Ovis aries: one gene and its partners. The protein of the gene in region 2 interacts with the protein of the main gene of each other region in a pairwise test. Links are inferred from orthologs where the notes say so. Each region holds a gene or a part of one and is shown on either strand. Other genes may lie near its edges.

The links. The genes of interacting proteins can lie anywhere in the genome.
Region 1: the proteins of LMNA (region 2) and VAMP4 interact in a two-hybrid assay, tested with the Homo sapiens proteins (2 studies listed by BioGRID and IntAct, with this or other methods). The link is inferred for Ovis aries from reciprocal best matches to the Homo sapiens genes LMNA and VAMP4.
Region 3: the proteins of LMNA (region 2) and IFFO1 interact in binary tests that used the Homo sapiens proteins (3 or more experiments, as listed by UniProt). The link is inferred for Ovis aries from reciprocal best matches to the Homo sapiens genes LMNA and IFFO1.
Region 4: the proteins of LMNA (region 2) and TOR1AIP1 interact in a two-hybrid assay, tested with the Homo sapiens proteins (2 studies listed by BioGRID). The link is inferred for Ovis aries from reciprocal best matches to the Homo sapiens genes LMNA and TOR1AIP1.
Region 5: the proteins of LMNA (region 2) and ZSCAN12 interact in binary tests that used the Homo sapiens proteins (3 or more experiments, as listed by UniProt). The link is inferred for Ovis aries from reciprocal best matches to the Homo sapiens genes LMNA and ZSCAN12.

Annotation. Positions count from the first base shown.
Region 1 is NC_056065.1:38,427,030-38,430,568, reverse strand, and holds part of VAMP4 (vesicle-associated membrane protein 4), read left to right. Parts: intron 1-534; coding exon 535-635; intron 636-1,929; coding exon 1,930-2,009; intron 2,010-3,539. UniProt on the Homo sapiens protein: Involved in the pathway that functions to remove an inhibitor (probably synaptotagmin-4) of calcium-triggered exocytosis during the maturation of secretory granules.
Region 2 is NC_056054.1:106,135,983-106,140,120, forward strand, and holds the start of LMNA (lamin), read left to right. Parts: upstream 1-1,335; 5' UTR 1,336-1,544; coding exon 1,545-1,900; intron 1,901-4,138.
Region 3 is NC_056056.1:209,688,640-209,692,178, reverse strand, and holds part of IFFO1 (non-homologous end joining factor IFFO1), read right to left. Parts: coding exon of another isoform or gene 3,489-3,539; 5' UTR 3,385-3,488; coding exon of another isoform or gene 3,156-3,384; 5' UTR 2,011-3,155; coding exon of another isoform or gene 1,340-2,010; 5' UTR 860-1,339; coding exon 1-859. Other genes in the region: NOP2 (probable 28S rRNA (cytosine(4447)-C(5))-methyltransferase), read right to left, coding at 1,340-2,010, 3,156-3,384, 3,489-3,539. UniProt on the Homo sapiens protein: Nuclear matrix protein involved in the immobilization of broken DNA ends and the suppression of chromosome translocation during DNA double-strand breaks (DSBs).
Region 4 is NC_056065.1:60,524,990-60,527,852, forward strand, and holds the end of TOR1AIP1 (torsin-1A-interacting protein 1), read left to right. Parts: coding exon 1-632; 3' UTR 633-2,344; downstream 2,345-2,863. UniProt on the Homo sapiens protein: Required for nuclear membrane integrity. Induces TOR1A and TOR1B ATPase activity and is required for their location on the nuclear membrane. Binds to A- and B-type lamins. Possible role in membrane attachment and assembly of the nuclear lamina.
Region 5 is NC_056073.1:29,395,646-29,399,184, reverse strand, and holds part of ZSCAN12 (zinc finger and SCAN domain-containing protein 12), read right to left. Parts: intron 1,673-3,539; coding exon 1,528-1,672; intron 1-1,527. UniProt on the Homo sapiens protein: May be involved in transcriptional regulation.

The sequences.
Region 1 (3,539 bases), on a different chromosome or scaffold from region 2:
TCTCTGGCATCTCATGGAAGATAACTACCTAGAAATTTCAAGATTGGTCCTTGATGAACAATAGCTGTGCTTCCATTATAGTTAAATGCAGATCTCTACATTCACTGCCTTATATCTCTTTCTCAAGTAGCTGGATGTGCTTGGCAGGACTTATACCCAAATTGTTCACTTATTGAACTGATAAGTCTTAAGCGCATACTCTGTCCCAAGCAGTGTAACAGGTACTGGGGCTACAAAAATGAACCAAATAGGCAGTTACTGAGCTTTCTGACAATGCATTTAATTTGCAGAAACCGGACTAAGAATAAACTATTTTTAAGTTAAATATTACTTTTATTTATATTATGTTGTCTTCTAATTTTGTGAGTACTCAAGCCCACAAATGGAAGGAATGTTGCTACAAGCCTTAAACTTAAAAACTTTAGACTTGAATGATTCTGAGAACTTGTTATTTTCTACAGTGTCTAATGAAATTTTCAAAAATTGTAAAATTCTCAAGAATACATTATTTTTAAATCTTTTTTTTTAAACTAGTGTTCAGAATCAGGTGGATGAAGTCATTGATGTCATGCAAGAAAATATTACAAAGGTAATAGAAAGAGGGGAGAGACTAGATGAACTACAGGACAAATCAGGTACAGATACCTCATATATTTCTTGAAATTCTTAATCTGTATTTTGATAGTGTACTTCTCCCATTTTTTTAGCCAAAGTTTAGAAATCTTGTCTTAGGAAAAATGGTATTTATGGTTTTAGTGTTTTAACTTTAGCTTCCTTTACTTTTTTAAAAAATTATTTTATTCAAGTATAGTTGATTTATGTGTTAATTTCTACTATACAGCATTTATATATACACACATATATATACATTTTCATATTCTTTTCCATTATGGTTTATTCCAGGATATTGATTATAGCTTGCTGTGCTACACACTAGGACCTTGTTGTTTATTCATCTTATATATAATGTTTTGTATCTGCTAATCCCAAACTCCCAATCCATCCTTTCCCACTGCCTCCCACCCACTGCCCACCGTAGGCAACCACAAGTCAGATTTCTACTTAGGTCTTCCCTCCATTTTCCAATTGGGTTGTTTGAAACTTCATTGTTAAGTTGTATATATTAGCTCCCTTCAGTTTGAAACATCTTATTGTTGTATTATTGCTTTAATTGATTGGTTGAGAATGGAAAAATTAAAAATTCATTATTGAAGAATTAGAGTATTTTTTTCTTTTGTCCTGTTATGTTGATGTACTTTGTATCTCTCCTGATCTCATGAAAAATAGGCCTAATCACTTCTATTCAAACTTATTTCAAACTTATCCAGGGTATTTATCTCATGCTTTGCCTGGTGACTTAGTAACCTTTCTGTACTGACAGATGTTAGTCTCTATTCTTTTAACTGTTCCTGGCACTTATTAGGTACTCACATATTGTTTAAATGATGAATGGCTGAATGACTGTCTGATTAGTCCTTCACAGACTTGTTTAACAAAAAAAATTATTCAACCACTTTTAAAATTCATACTGTTTTGCTTCAGAATCACTTTTGATATCATCTAAGAATCTGCTTTCTCCACTTGTAGATTTTTTCTATAGTTGTGCCAGGTATTTGAGTTTCTAAAGAGTATTTTCTAACAGAATTCATAAGTTTATTGAAAGCACTGAGACCCTAGAAGACCTCTCTTACTCTTATCATAAAAGTGGATTGAGCAAACTGACCTGCAGCCACTTTTTCCTTTTTTTTTTTTTTTAAGAATACAGAATACCAGAGTTTGTGGGTGGAGGAAAGGAAAGATGTTGTTTTCATGCTTAAAGGGGAATAAATTTGCAGAAGTAGAAATTAATATTTTCTTGTCTTTGTGTGACTAGATAAAAGAATCCTGTTATGTCGTTTAATCCTTCTCTCCATCCTCTATGTGATATAGAAAGCTTATCGGATAATGCAACTGCTTTTAGCAACAGATCCAAACAGCTTCGAAGGCAAATGTGGTGGCGTGGATGCAAAGTAAGTAAATCAGAAAATGCTGGATAGGTTGGCCAGCATATCCAGTGGTGATCAAAGGCATAAAGGAAAAAGGGCCTCTAGATTATCAGCTCTGTAAGGACAGGGGCTACAACTCTCTTGCTCATTATTACATATTCTGAGCCTGAGACATGGTGGAACTCTGAATATTTGTAGAATTATTATCTTTTGGGCTAGAAATAACTAAAGGAATCAAGCAGTGCCTGAAAGGATGTTTTCATGGGTTTCTTCGTAGAGAATAAACCACATTTTATTAATAATTTAGCTTCCTCTAGACTTATAAGAAATATTAACTTATAATTTATTATTAGTACCTTTTTGGAGCAACCTATACCATTATATACAGATGTTTAGAAAGTAGAATGCAAGCTAGAGAAAAATACAATTTTCCTGTTGGAAAGGAGGACAAAAATAAAAGCAATTGAATGTGTCAGAATTCATATGGCAAATGGGGGGGCTAAAAAAAATCCCACTGTCCCTCATTATTCTAGAGTCTTCTGCCATACGACCCTGAACCCATCTGCCTGATCTCAGAAGCTGGGCAAGGTCAGGGGCCTGGTTGTACTTGGATAAGAGGAATAAGAAGTAAAACATTTTAACAAGGAAAAAATTAGGAATCATTATATGCTGATATATTCCTGCAAAACATCTTATGGAAATGAATTTACTTCTTAAATCAAGTATGGCTACTGCTTATCAAGCAGAAAAATGTTTCTCTCAAGATTTTATAGAAAATTTCATGTCATATGAGCATATCTCATCTTTTTCCTCCTGATACTTTGTATCATTTTAAAGTCTCTCATTTTCCAGTTTAGGAATAACTTTCAAAACATGATGTTGACATATGCTGAGGATTTCTTCCAAGAGTTTCATTAGATTTACTTCTTTTTGTCTGTGTACCTGTTGAATCCTCTTATTTTCAGAAATAGAACTTAGGGGAAGATACAAGTTTCATTGCTCCTCTTGTCTAGAATTTAAATTTTCTGGGTTTTTTAAATGAGTAAATTTTCTATCTCTATACAAATGTTCTGTTCTGGAAATTAGTTTGGTGGAACAAAAAGTCAATGAGCCATTAACCTCCTCTCCCCATACATACACATGACTCATTCACATGGCCATTAATAAAATGATAATGTACATTTTGTGTAGCTTTTTTTAACCATAGCTATAGATTTTCATTTTGTACTTTATGGGGTCCAGATCAAAGAAATAGCATGCTTTTAAGGGGAAAAATTAGAGTATATTTTTAATTTATATTTTTAATAGTCTCTACATCACTGCCATTTTCTGGTTTAACTTCAGAGTTATTATTTAGGAAGGACTAAGAAAAGGGCTATAGAAATGGAAAAGAGATTAGAAGTTGCCACTGGCTAAGGGTCGAGGAGTAGAGATTGACTACAGCAGGGTATGAGGGCACTTTCTGAGTGATAAAGTGTCTTATGTTCAACTGCGATTGACAACTAGATGTCAAAATGCATCAAAATGAACTCTAAAAGGGTGAGTTTTATTGTA
Region 2 (4,138 bases):
ATGAGATGGTTGGTGGGGCCGGGGCCCGGATGGGAATGGGGAGTAGGAGGCTGATTAAAGGGGTCTCCCGAGAGTCCTGAGGATGGAAGCTCAGGGACGTGGATGATCCTGTTTTGTGAGAGGGCCTGGCCCCTCCCCGGAGCCAGTGGCAAAGCAGACCTGGTCAGAGAGGAATGTGGAGATAAGTGCGGTGCTGGCCCAGCAGTCAGCAAGGCTATGGGCGCCTTTGCTGTCTTCACCCCCATCACCCCCCTTTTCTGGCTGAAACCAGGATAGAGACCCAAAATTGGCTGTCCAGCCCCCAGCCCTGCTCCCCCTTTCAGGCCCCTTTGGGAACCACAAAAATTTGGGACCTGGTGTCCTGGCAATGTGATGAACGCATGCACAGCTCTGGTATCTGTTTTAAATTATCCATTAAAATAAGTACAGTCCTGGAAAAAAAAATAAGTACAGTTCTGGGGTTGGTGGGCTGGGCTGGGCTGGGCTGAGGACTAGAAAGGGACCAAAGCTGGGAGGAACCTCAGGCAGGCTCTTTTTCTGACTGCTGGGGTCCAAAGGAAGGGGATGGGGTGGGCAGTACTTGGGTCCTATTCTTGACCTTTTCTGGGGCCTCGGGGTTGTTCTTTGGGTCTACGATCCAATGGTTGATTTCAAAGGGAGATTAAACTGGGGCAGAAAATAGGAAAAGAATAACCCCAAACTCTGGTCCCCACCCTGAATTTGAGGGTGTAAAAGGAACTCAGGATCCAGAACTTTGTGGCAGCTCTCCCTCCAACCACCCCAGGGAACCCAGGCATATTTCCCCACCCCACCCTGGCATACTGAGATGTGGCTTTGAATGGACTGCCCACTCATGGAGGTGGGGGGTGGGGGAGTAGGGGTGACTCACTATTACTATGGGGAGGAAAAGGGGGGCCAGTGGTGGAAGAGTGAGTCACCCTCATGGGCACCAGCCTCAGCCTCCCCCCACTTTCCTGGATCTGCCTGCCTGGCGCCCTCCCTTGCTTTGTGCCTACTGCCCCTCTTCCCCCTGCCCTTTGCCCACCCAGCCTCACCCCTTGGCTCTGCCCATTTCCCCCTCTAAGGCCAAAGGCAGTGGGGGCAAGCTTTTAGCTTGGATCGCTGAGCAGGTAGAGACCTAGAGACGAGCTTCAGGGAAGCCCCAGGCACGTGGGGGTGCCTGAGGGAGGGTGGGGCCCTACCCCGGGGCTGTCGTCTCCCCTGCTCACCCCTCCCTCTCCCACCCCTGTGGGTTAGCGACGGCCCCTTTAAGAGAGTGGCCCCTCCTCCCATTCCCTAGACCTATTAGAGCCTTTGCCCGGGAGCCGGTGACTCAGAGTGTTCGCGGGAGCTCCGCATCCACACCGGCCAACCGAGATCCAGAGGTCTGACAGCGCCCGGCCCAGATCCACAAGCCTGCCAGGAGCCAGCCGAGAGCCAGCCGGCCGGCGCGCTCCTACCCCAGCAGTCTCTGTCCTTCGGCCTGAGCCCCGCGTCCTTCCCGGGACCTCTGCCCCTCGGGCAGTGCTGCCACCCTGCCGGCCATGGAGACCCCGTCCCAGCGGCGCGCCACCCGCAGCGGGGCGCAGGCCAGCTCCACCCCGCTGTCACCCACCCGCATCACCCGGCTGCAGGAGAAGGAGGACCTACAGGAGCTCAATGACCGCTTGGCTGTCTACATCGACCGGGTGCGCTCGCTGGAAACGGAGAATGCAGGTCTGCGCCTTCGCATCACTGAGTCTGAGGAGGTGGTCAGCCGCGAGGTGTCTGGCATAAAGGCCGCCTACGAAGCCGAGCTGGGGGATGCCCGCAAGACCCTCGACTCGGTGGCCAAGGAGCGCGCCCGCCTGCAGCTGGAGCTGAGCAAAGTGCGAGAGGAGTTCAAGGAGCTCAAGGCGCGGTGAGTGCCCCAGGTGGCGGCGTGGGGCCGGGAGGGGCAGTGAGGGCAGAGGGACTGCCGCCCCTGCCTGGGCTCCAGGCCGTTGGTAACGTTGCCGTATAGTTTCCTCCCTCCCGGAACTGCCCCCAGCGAGTGCCTGGCAGTGCCAAGGGAAATTGTCAAGACAGGACTGAGAAGGGAGAGGTCTCTGGGAGAGGGTGGGGTATATAAGGAATGGCGGGGTTCATCAGGGCCAAGTAGGAGCTGGTGGCAGGCCCGCAATCTGTCAGGGTGGGATTTGCCAGTCATTTGGGGCCTGAGAGAGGGCCTTGAGCAAAGCCGAACTGGCCTTGCCAGGTCTAAGACATCTAGGCGCCCAAGACACTTAGGAGTGGGTGAGAGGGTCCTGTTGGAACTTTCTTGGCAGCCTTGGCACCGTGCCAACCTTGCCCAGCCTGTCTCTGAAGACATGACTCCCACTAAAACAGAGCTCCTAGGCTGGGAGATGTCTAGTGGTGCCAGAGAGAGGTCACCAAAGCCGGGTGACCCCCTTTTCCCCCTGCAGGGGCACAGCGATGGCCCCCACTGCACAACCCTTTCCCAGGCTCTTGTTAAGAGTTTTGAAGTGCTCCTTTACTCCCTGCATGTCTGGGACTTCCCCTGGCCTCTGACAGGCCCACCGATCAACTCTAGGAGAGCCGCTCCCCCGCAGCTCCCACAGCCCTTGGCCTGCTTGGCCCAGGAATGCAAGGGAGGGAGGGAGACGGAGGGCAGAGGCTCCCGGCTCAGGAAGTTGTGTTATGTATGCCCAGGTCTGTACCTCCCCTTCCCCATCTCCCCACCCTCACCCTCTGCCTAGTCCCTCCCTGCCTCCCTTCTTGGGGTGAGCCACTTTCATTTTCCCGGCCAAGCCTAGCAGCCTCTGCTCTGGCCGGCCCTCTCAGCCACTGGGACATTTTTTTTGTTATTGTTCTTTGCCTTATTAAACTCCTGGAATACTGTGACATTTTTGAAATCCAGCCGTTGGAAGACTCAGGCCCCTCCTACCTTACCCATCCCTGCCCCACCCTACCGCACCCTACTTGTCTCCTCCCTCTTCTCTGAAAAGGCCTTTGGAGCTGGGAAGTTTAGGCCCTCTTCAGCTCCCCAAGGATTTGTTTTCTGAGAAGACCTCAGCCAGAGAGCACTAAGGTGCTTGGAGACCCCTGGCTGAGGCTGTAGTGGTTGGTCTTCTCTTCTTCCCCTTTGCGTCGTCTTCTCCAGGCTCATGCTCTTCTCAGAAGCGCTGTGAATTTGCTACTCTTTATACCCCTTCGCTAGCCCCCAGCCCCTGGCATGGTGGGTGTGGCAGATGTATCATCCCCTAGTGAAGAGTAGATGGAAATGGTGTGGGTAGGCAGGTGACTCTCCCCCCCACCACCCCCCGCACCCCCAAGCCCAGGCTTGCCAGGGGTCAGTTCCCTGATCAGACCAGGGATCCAAAGCCAGGAATCCTAACCATTAGGCCACCAGGGAACTCAGAGTGACTATTTCTGTTGAAAGGGATCATTCCTGTCATTGTCCACTAGTGATATGAATAACTTAGTTAACAGGGCAGACAAGAGGCAAGCTAGGGGAGTCCCAGAGAATTAGTCTTCCAAACTAGCTTACCCAGCTACCGAACTACTACCTTGCGGGTCCCTGCCAAGGGCATTCTTAGCAGGTCTTTTTCTGGGGAAGGTTTTGACCAGGGAACAGAACGAGTGGAGTCTATGGTCTCTCGCTAACCCAGCCACACCAGTCTGTCTCTGCCTCCTGGTGCAGCTGTCCCGGTCTGGGACACCAGGCGGGTGTGTGCGCACGTGGGACAGGGCCGGGGGTGGTGTGTGTACTTGTTATATTTAGCTGCCTGCCTCTCCTCTCCCCCACTGATCCTGGCTGGGGGTGCTGGGCTTCCGGGAGAGGGGGGGTGGTTTTGCACACCTGGATCCTAGGCTGATAGGAGGTTGGGCGGAGACAAAGAGGGCTCACTTGAGGTTTCTGTCCCCTTCTATGTCCCCAGTGGGAGGAGCAAGGATTTGTTGCTCCCTTTTGTGTCTGCTTTGCTCAGGGTGAGGTGAAGAACGCCATGAAGAATTTGGGAGAGGAAGAAAGGCATTGTCCTAACTCCTCCCACTAAAGCCTAGAGAGAAGGTGTTGTCTGGTTTAATGTTTAATTAGAGCTCAGAGTTCAGGGCCAGGCTTTGGGTTGGGATGCAGAGCTGTCTGTAAGGTTTTGTG
Region 3 (3,539 bases), on a different chromosome or scaffold from region 2:
TGTAGAGCGCGCGGATCTCGGGCGTGATGGTGTCGATCTGGACTCCCACCCCGTCGGGGTGCACCCACGACAGGCCAGGCCCTTGCACCAGAGTGGGCTCCAGTCCCGGCCCGAGCCGGCGAGCGTGAGAGAAGGACCAGATGGTGCCGGGCATGAAGCGGGCCGACGAGGAGTAGGCGGTGGAGGCGGAGGTGGAGGGCGCTGGCTGGCAGGCCGCGGACGGCGCGAGGGGGCCGGCCGGTGAGCGCGCGGGCGAGCCCAGGACCCGCGCCGATGGGGTGCAGACGGCGGCCGTCCGGGAGCCCAGGGGCAGCCCCAGGGGTCGGACGGGGCTGACGAAGCCGGTCTGCACGGCCTGGTCGCGGCGAGGCAGGCCCCGCCGGCCCTGCTTACCCTCCTCCAGCGCCTGCTGCAGCTGCTTCTCCAGCAGTCGGTTGCGGCGCTCCAGCTCGTGCACCTTGGCCAGGAAACAGCGGAAGCGGAGGTTGAGGGTCTTGAGCACGTTGATGTTGGAGCCCAGGTCGTTGCGGAGGGCCATGGCGGCGGGGGGCGCCGGGCCCGGCCCCGGCGGCGAGTAGGGAGCCGGGCCGGTCGGGGCGAGCGGCGCCGGGGGCACGTCCCCGCCGCCGGCCAAGTGGTCGCCTCCCAAGGGGTCCCCCAGCGGCCCGGCCAGGCCCTGCTGCTCCTGCTGGAGGAGGAAGAGGTTGGGGCCGAATAACGGATTCATGGCTGCGCCTTCTGCTGGGAGACAGAAACCCGTGCGGGAGCAGGGATGTTGGGCGAGGGAGGAGAGCCAATGAGACGCCAGGGGGACGCGGAACAGCCAATCAGACGGCTCGACGGGAGGGGCAGAGGTCATGGGGGCGGGGGAGGGCAGGGGGTAAGCCAATGAAAGGCTCGTTCGAAGGCTGGCACCTGGACAGACCTTTCCGGGTCTGGGGCTGAGCCCTGAGCCCAGCGGACCCCGGAATCCAGACAGCGGCTGAGTGACTGAAACCCAGGTCCTCCAGTACTGCGTAGTTCTGGTAGCACGAAATCCATCTACATCCCTATTGCCCTGCTCCCTCCTAAGTCCAAACACCCAGTTCTGACTCCATGAATCTCCTTCCCTGGGTTCCCCGGAACTGACCTGATTTCTCAGTGCACTGCATTGTCCCCTCTTCTGAGGTTCCCTATCTCACCCTCCCTCCTCTGCTCTTTTAAGCAGCAAAGCCAGTACCCACCCCCAAAAAACACACAGTGGCCAGGGACTGTAAAACATGTATTAAATTTCACATCCATGGTTGGGAAGCCATCCTCACAGAGGAGAGTTCCAGCCCTGCAACAATGGCAGTCTAATTCAACCATCCACTGAAGTCAGCGCAGGCTGGAGGCTGCCTCTGGACTGAGATTTTCTCCTCTTTGCTGGCGGGGGCCGGCTGGAACTGCGGGAGGACACGGTGGGAGTCTTTAGTCCCTTGGGGGTGCCATCCCGTTTCTGGAAGGCAGCTTTCTTGAAAGGCTGCTCTGCCACCTGATGCTTAACCTTCTCAGCCCCTGTGGTGTTTCCAAAGGGCTGGTCACGGTCCTCAGGCTTGGGTGTGGCCTGAGTCTTGGAGAGGGATGGTGCTGCAGGCAAGTCTGTGTCCATGGTCTTGGGAGGAGCACGCTGCTTCCGGAAGGCAGCTTTCCTGGAGGACTGCAGTTTGGGTGACTGTTGCTTTAGCTTCCCAGCCTCCTTCGGTTCCCTGACCACTGCTGCTGTTTCGGGCGGCTGACTACTGTCCTGGAGCTTGGAGGACGCCTGGGCCTTTGTGACAGCAGACACAGTGGACAATTCTGTGTCCGTCCCTTTGGAGATGCCATTCTGCTTCTGGAAGGAAGACTTCTTGGGATGCTGCTGTTTCTGCAGCCGTTGCTTTGCCTGACCAGCCTTCTTGGTAGACGGGCTGCCACTCTCAGACTTGGGGGTCACCTGCCCATTCACGTTGGGCAAGTCTGGGTTTGTGGGGGTGGATGTCGCAGAATTTCCTGTGGTTAAAATTAAACAGTTTGAGAAATAAGGCCTCATCACTGGGTCACGATCATCAGTGGAGCAGAAAAAGCAGAGATATTAAAGTAAGGAGACTTCCTGGGTGCCACCTCCTGGCCAAGTGTCCCACACAACAGGGGCAGTACCTAGGAGCAGATCACCTAGATTCAGATTACTTAGTTTCACCTAGCCTCTACTCAAGTCGTATTTGCAATCTGTAATAAAGAGAAGATACCATTACCCATCCATGGGCCAAAAGGTTTTCAGAGGAAGCTGTGCCCCTTGGGGGCCAGCAGGAGGTGAATCCTGAACAAACTTGAAGCACTGGGCTTCTTCTTTAATCAGAAAAGATGTTTTCTTCCATGCAGCTTTTGATGAGATGCAGACAAATAAGGCACACAGAGTAACTAAAGACAAGCTAGTCTTCATGAATGAAGACTGACATAGTCAATATGTATCTTTTAAGTTACAGCAAAAAATATATATATATAGGGTACTTTGCTGCTTCTTGAAGAGATGTGTTAACATTCAAATGTGACTCATGTTAAGAGGCATTGTTTATAGAGAAAAGTCACCAAGTTTGTGTGCAAAGAAGTCCACCTCTCCCTCGTGCAACTAAGCCTAGGGTGACATCCCAGGAGGCAGAGCCCTCAGGTTTGTTTCAGAAAACCCCACCCTGGCCTTTATGGCCCAGTCCAAACTCCCCAAGACAGCCAAGAAAACCATCTGCAATTAGTGAGACTGCAAAGAACTGATGTTCTGAGGAGTCCTGCGCCAGCCCAGTGCTGAGGCTGAGATCTGTTACCAGGAAGGCCACCCCCGGCCAAGAAACCACACCCCTGCTGGAGAGCATTCACTGCTGACAACTGCAGCCACCTGGCACAACTGAGCAAAGGGCTCGATCCACACAAACCCTTTAACATACCCAACTGGGGTTCAGGCATGGGACCAGTTCTAGCTGGAATGAAAAGGATCTCTCACCCCAGCATTCAAGGGTAAGCCAGGGGGGCAAGGACCACCCTTCCCTGCAGCCACACCTTTCCCTGCAGCCACACCTTTCCCTGCAGCCACACCCTTCCCTGCAGCCTCTGGAGGGGGAAAGAGCAAAGGTGGAGATGAAGAGAGCAAAAAGCAGATCACTTACCCGTTTGGGACTGGGGGATAGAATTGGAGAATTTCTTGAACTTGGCAATAAAGAAGCCATCCATGTTGTGGGTGTGAGGGTAGAAGCGGCGGGTGGAGCGCAGCGTGGGGTGGAAGCGCCTTTCCCGGAAGCGGGTGAAGCCCTCCTGGCCGAAATCCAGGCCAGTGGGCACCAGGCGCACGTTTCTCTTTTTCAGGGCGTAGTCCACCACCCACTCGTTCTCCTCCACCTAACATGTAGGGGAGACGGAAGGAAAGCAGAGCTGGAGTTGAAGGGGCGCTGAGGGCATGACAGCCCCAGGCTAGCTCCCTCCCGCGCCCCAACAGGCCTCACCATGATGGAGCAGGTGCAGTAGACGAGATAGCCCCCCGTCTTGGAGCTGGC
Region 4 (2,863 bases), on a different chromosome or scaffold from region 2:
AGCTGATGAATAAGTACCAAGGTCAAGATGAGAAGCTGTGGAAAAGGAGCCAAACATTACTGGAAAAACATCTCAATGGTTCCCAACCTCGGCCTCAGCCTGCGATTTTGCTGCTCACTGCTGCCCGAGATGCTGAAGAAGCACTCAGGTGTCTGAGCGAACAGATCGCTGATGCCTACTCCTCCTTCCGTAGTGTTCCTGCCATCCGGATTGATGGGGCTGGCAAAGCTGCTCGAGACAGTGATACTGTCAAAGAAGAAGTAGATCAGGAACTGAGCACTGGGTTCAGAAATGGCCAGAAAGCAGCTGTGGTCCACCGCTTTGAGTCACTGCCTGCAGACTCTACTTTGATCTTCTACAAGTATTGTGACCACGAAAGTGCAGCCTTCAAAGATGTAGCCTTAGTCCTGACTGTCTTATTGGAGGAGGAGACACTTGGAACCAATCTGGGCCTCAAGGAAATTGAAGAAAAAGTGAGAGATTTCCTCAAAGTCAAGTTCACCAACTCTGACACATCCAGCTCCTACAAGCATATGGACCCAGACAAACTGAGTGGGCTCTGGAGCCGTATTTCTCACTTAGTCCTCCCTGTACAACCTGAAAATGACCTGAAAAGGGGCATCTGCTTTTAAAGGAAGACGGAAGAGAAAGTTATGTCTCAAGTGCTGAGAATTTTTTCAAACTTTCTAACCAGACAGCACTCAGCTCTTTTTGAAAGACCTGGTTTCTTTTTAAAGGAGGTTAGGTTCTTAGGTAAACATGGAACATCTGTATTGTTTATTCAGCCTAATTATGTTACCTGAGAGACTCATTTCCCACTGAGATCTGTTAATGATATCTACAGACTATAAATTATATACAGTCCCATAGAGGATCTACTTAAATTCTGGAGTGAATCATTATTCCTGTGGTATGACCAGTGGGAGGGATTTGGCTCCTTCCTATAAATCCTCCCTAATGTTTTAACTTGGTTTTTTTTTCACAGAGTTTGTTATTAGTAAGATAGCTCCCTGAGCGCAACTATGGGCTTTCCTGTTTTGTTCTCTTTTTTCATCATTTAGATGTGAATTCCTTAGTCAGCTTCTCCTTATAGGAACAAAAATAATGAAGGGCCATCTGAGTGTTTGTTTGGGTGTTTCTTTCTTTTTTTCTTTAATTTTGGAGGACAGGGAAAAGTTGTGAAATGGAGAAGGAAAGGGGAGGAAAAGTTTTCAAGATGAAATATTAAAATAAGTCACTGGGGGAATTCCTTGATGGTCTCGTGGGTGGGACTCCATGTTCTCACTGCCAAGGGCCTGGGTTCCATCCTTGGTTGGGGAGCTAAGGTTCTGCAAGCCACCCCATGCACACTCAGAAATTTTTAAAAAAAAAGTCACTGTCACCTGGGGTTCATCAAACATAGCTATATGAACTCCATTCTCAGTGAATTCTGTCGGGACTTTTATTTTCCTTGAAGAAATTTTTACTCCTCCCAAGGATTCTGAAGCATGTATATGATGAGGTTTAGTATATTTGCTCACTTGGCGCTTAAGAACAGGCAAATTCAGGCAGTTTATTTTGTTCATATCCTGAAAATTTTGTTAAGAAAGATAATGTCAGAAATTGGTAAACCGCTTTGTCAACGACCTCTCCTCAGTGACTGAAGAGGGCTTTGATTTTCTGCATGTCCATTTGTTGCAGTCTACGTCCTTTAATGACACTCTTGTAACAAGTATAAAGATTTGCTATGCATGTGATAAATTCTGTTGAGTGCCTCAAGCCAAAAAGAAAGTGAAGTTTACTATATATGAAGGATGTTAAGATGTACTGCTGTACATAACTGTACCATAGTATTTCAGTTTTAACTTTGCATCTCTTAACAGCTTTCTCATCTGTCAACAGCTTTGGTTTTCTTAGAATCTTAAAATTCTGGATCAGCTTTATTTTTTTATTGTCTACAAACCTTTAAATGGCAATATTGCTTTTAGAATACTAAAGCCTGTCAGTGGCTTCTTCATTTACCTTTTGAGGATCCCATAACTGATGGTAGAATATGGTCTTATTTCTTCCCACTAGGACTACCAGTATTCGTAAGTTTATACTCCTTATTATAATCTGTTCCTGACACTGTCAGAAGTCAGATATTCTTGATTTATAGAGGATTCTAAAACAAGAATTTTTGAAAAGGCTTATTTTATACATATATGTATTATATGGAGAAACAGATGTTTTTATTAACTGTTTCATTGACCAAAATTTTAAAATAATATTACTTATATCAGGAAAAATAATTGTAGCAGCTAATCTGTAAATGACTTTAAAAGCTATTTTAGTAATTTAAATAAATTTACTTTTTTGGTTTGTACTCTGTGTTGTAAGTTTAATGACTCGTATACCTTTTAAAAAATTCCTAGGGTTTTCTTTACACTTGAACAATTTTAGTGAGTTCTGCTTGGAGAAATAAAGGGCAAAGAGAAAACTGGAGCTCCTCACAAGTACGTTGGTAGAAAATACAATCACTGTGGTTTTCTGTTTCATCTGGGGATTTTGACCTATCACGAAAGTTGAATTGAAGTATTCCTCACTTGGTAAAAATCTACACATGTTTCTCAATTTTTCCATTCTCACCTGCCTAAGGAAACTTTTTAGGGTTTTTTTTTTTTTCCCCTAATCATCTACCCCCATGAAATTTTAATACTTCATACAGACTGTGAATCATATACATATTTTTATGCTTTATACACATGAAGGGTAAGATTTTGTTGCCCTCACTAAAAATGTATGCTCAAGAACATCCATATTTTAGATCATTGATGGCTGAAACATTGTTTTGTTCATGTTACCATAATACTTTTGAAGGGGAAATTGTAATAAGTCATTGGCT
Region 5 (3,539 bases), on a different chromosome or scaffold from region 2:
TCAAACATTGCCAGTAAGAGTGTTAATTGATCCAAGCTTTATTAGAGGGCAATTTGACAATATATATCAAAATTACAAATATATATATAACCTTTGACGTAGTAATTCCACCTAGAAGGAATTTATGCTACAGATATATTCACACATATGGTTATTTATCACAGCACTATTTGTTATACTAAAAGAGTGGGGCCAACTTAAATGTTATTAGCAGGAGAAAGCTAAGTTCACTGCATGATATAGCCATATTGTTGTTGCTGTTGTTTAGTTACTAAGTCGTGTCCAACTCTTTTGTGACCCCATGGACTGTAGCTCACCAGGCTTCTCTGCCCATGGGATCTCCCAGGCAAGAATACTAGAGTGGGTTGCCATTTCCTTCTCCAAGGGATCTTCCTGTCTCAGGGATTGAACCCTTGTCTCCTGCACTGGCAGGTAGATTCTTTATCATTGAGCCACCTGGGGAGCCTGATATAGCTGTATATTTTAAAATTAAGCAGCTGTTAAGAAATAAAAAATGCAAGGTTCTTTAATCTTAGTGATAGAGGAAAATATATTTGAATATGAGAAATATACATATATGGTTAAAAATCTCTAGGACACCCAAGAAACTAGTAACAGTGACAACCTATTTCAAAACAGAGGTAAGGAGACCAAATGGCTAGGGTAATTGAGTGGCAGCATATCTTTTCACTGGGTAACTTTAGGTTATTACTTTTCTCAACCATGTGAATTTTCACCTGTTTTTAAAAAGTAAGTGAAAAAACAGAGAAAGTAGAAATAAGGAAGGTACATTCTTTCACCCCTTCACCCACTTTGAACATTTTGCCACATCTGCTTTATTACTCCTTCTCTTTATAAGAGTAATATATATGTGTGTATGTATACGCACATATGGGCTCTTCCCTGGTGGCTCAGATGGTAAAGCGTCTGCCTACAATGTGGGAGACCTGGGTTTGATCCCTGGGTTGGGAAGATCTCCTGGAAAAGGAAATGGCAACCCACTCCAGTACTCTTGCCTGGAAAATCCTATGGACAGAGGAGCCTTGTAGGCTACTGTCCATGGGGTCACAAAGAGTCGGACACGACTGAGTGACTTCACTCACTCACTCATACGCACATATATGTATTCGTCCCTGAACCGTCTGAAAGTTAGCTGAAGAGATCATGGGGCAAAGGTTTATTTACTGAAGGACACAGAATAAATTGCAAGACAGTGGTATTGTCTGGTAGGATAAAGGCTATACATAGGAAGGAAGTCAGTATAGAGGAAAATAACTATCAGAAGGACTAAACTAAGTGATTTCAAATAAAATACAGCCAGGATTTAGAGAGTATTAACATAAAGAGAAAAAAAGAGTTGCAGAGTGATAAACCAGGCTGCCTCAGGTCTATGCATGAGCCGTCAGAGCTCTTGAGAGACCTTCCTGACTTCAGTGCTCACAAACAGCACAAAGAACAAAAGAGTCCCAGGGTCCTATGTTGGCCCCCGTCTTCCCCTTCCTCCCAAGATGGGTCTTCCTTCTTTACCTTGCTTCTGTTGGGCTGCAAGTTCTGCAGATTCACACTTTGGCTGGGCTTGCACAGATGGAAGGCATATTCTGGATTCTTGTTCTGTTCTTAGAGGTACAATCTCCTGTAAGAACATTTCCTGTTCCTCAGTGCGGACTGAGACCTGAGGTAAATGAGATATAGCTTAGAACCTCACCCTGGTAACATTAAACAAGAATATACTATCTAGGGCAGTGGCACCCAGCTCTCTGAAACTTGAAACAAACTTCTTTCCATGTAACAGCCTGCCACAATCCTACTCAAGGCCAATACAAATGTCACCTCTTCTGGGAAACCTTCGCTTCCCCAGTTGGAAATAATTTCCCCTATCTTAACAGTTAAAGCATATTAAATGTACCACTTTTACATTTCTGTCTATGCTCAAAGAAATAGAGAAGTGACAAAGAGAAGGAAAAGAAGGTAAAAAGAGGCAGAGGCAGAAAGGAGTGGAAAAGAATTAATGCGGAAATAAGACAGAAGTGAGAAAGAAGGAAAGGAAGGGGGAAAAGTAAAGGGAAATAATGAGAGAAATTATAAAGAAAGACAGAAGGGAACAAAGGAGAAAGAGAAAGAAAAGAAAGAGGGTATGAGAAGGAAAGAGGAAAGGAAAAAGAGAAATCTCTCATATTCCTAATAGACAATGCTCTTCTGAGGTCCCCATCCCCATTCTTTCTGGGAAGATGATCTTGTTTTCTATTTCTCCAAGATCACGACCATCTCAAAAAAAAACTCTTATTCACTTTACCTATCTCCACTCTCTTACTCTTCTCCTTTCCTTCTATCTTAGAGGAAGAAGTCTTTTCTTTTTCAAGGCTTGTATCTCTACTTTTGCCTTCAATCTCATCCCTTTCTGCTTCCCTTTGATCCTTGCTCCTTCAATTAACTCATTTACTCAGCAATTTCAACCACTCGTAGCTTGCATTCCTCCATGGGCCCATTGCCTCTTGCACTTAAAACAAAAACAAAAAAAAAAAAAAAGAAGAAGAAAAGGTTTCCCCAGCATGGTAGTATAAAAACAGGAATCGGAATCTAATTTCCTTACTCTGTTTCTTAGTTTAGTATCGATAGCTGTCACCTTGGGCTAGGAATTATTCTGAGATTATATGACATCATGCATGTAAAGCACCTCACACAGGCATTGGCATGTGATAGGCCCTCAAATTACTTCCCCATGCCTCTTCAATAGCTTGTCTGGTGGCTCAGACTGTAAAGAATCTACCTGCAATGCAGGAGAACTGGGTTCAATCCCTGAATCAGGAGGATTCCATGGAGAAGGGAATGGTAACCCACTCCAATATTCTTGCCTGGAAAATCTCATGGAGAGAGGACACTGGCTATAGTCCATGGGGTCACAATGAGTCAGACATGACCGAGCAACTAACACACACACACACATACCCTTCAATGGCTAAAGTTTGTAAATAAAAAATTACCATACACTGACACTATTTCTCTGACAGTTTCATTTTGTAATCTTTCTCTCAGAATAAGAGCCAAAATCAGCATAATACTATCTCAAATGTACAGAAAAAGATGTTTTGATACTTCAAATTTTGGGGTGTGTGCGCTCAGTCACTCAGTCCTGTTCAACTCTTTGCAGCACCATGGAAATAGTCCAGCAGGCTCCCCTGTCCATGGTATCTTCCAGACAAAAATACTGGAGCTGGTTGCCATATCCTCCCCTAGGAGACCTTCCCAACCCAGGGATTGAACACAAGTCTCCCGAATCTCTTATATTGCAGGCAGATTCTTTACCACCAGCACCACCTGAGAAGCCCTCAAATTTGGCGGAGAAGGGAGCAAAAAAAGCCCAGTACAGTGAACTGTGCCTTCTGTCCCTGGATCTTTGACTAGGCCTTATAAACCACTAGCTACCCACAGCAAGCCTCAAAGGAAAGGACTGGTTGGCAATACAAATTCATCATGACTAAAACCAAGTTACTTGCTGCCTGCACCTAGGAATCCCTTTCTTCCTTTTGGTTCTCTTCCTA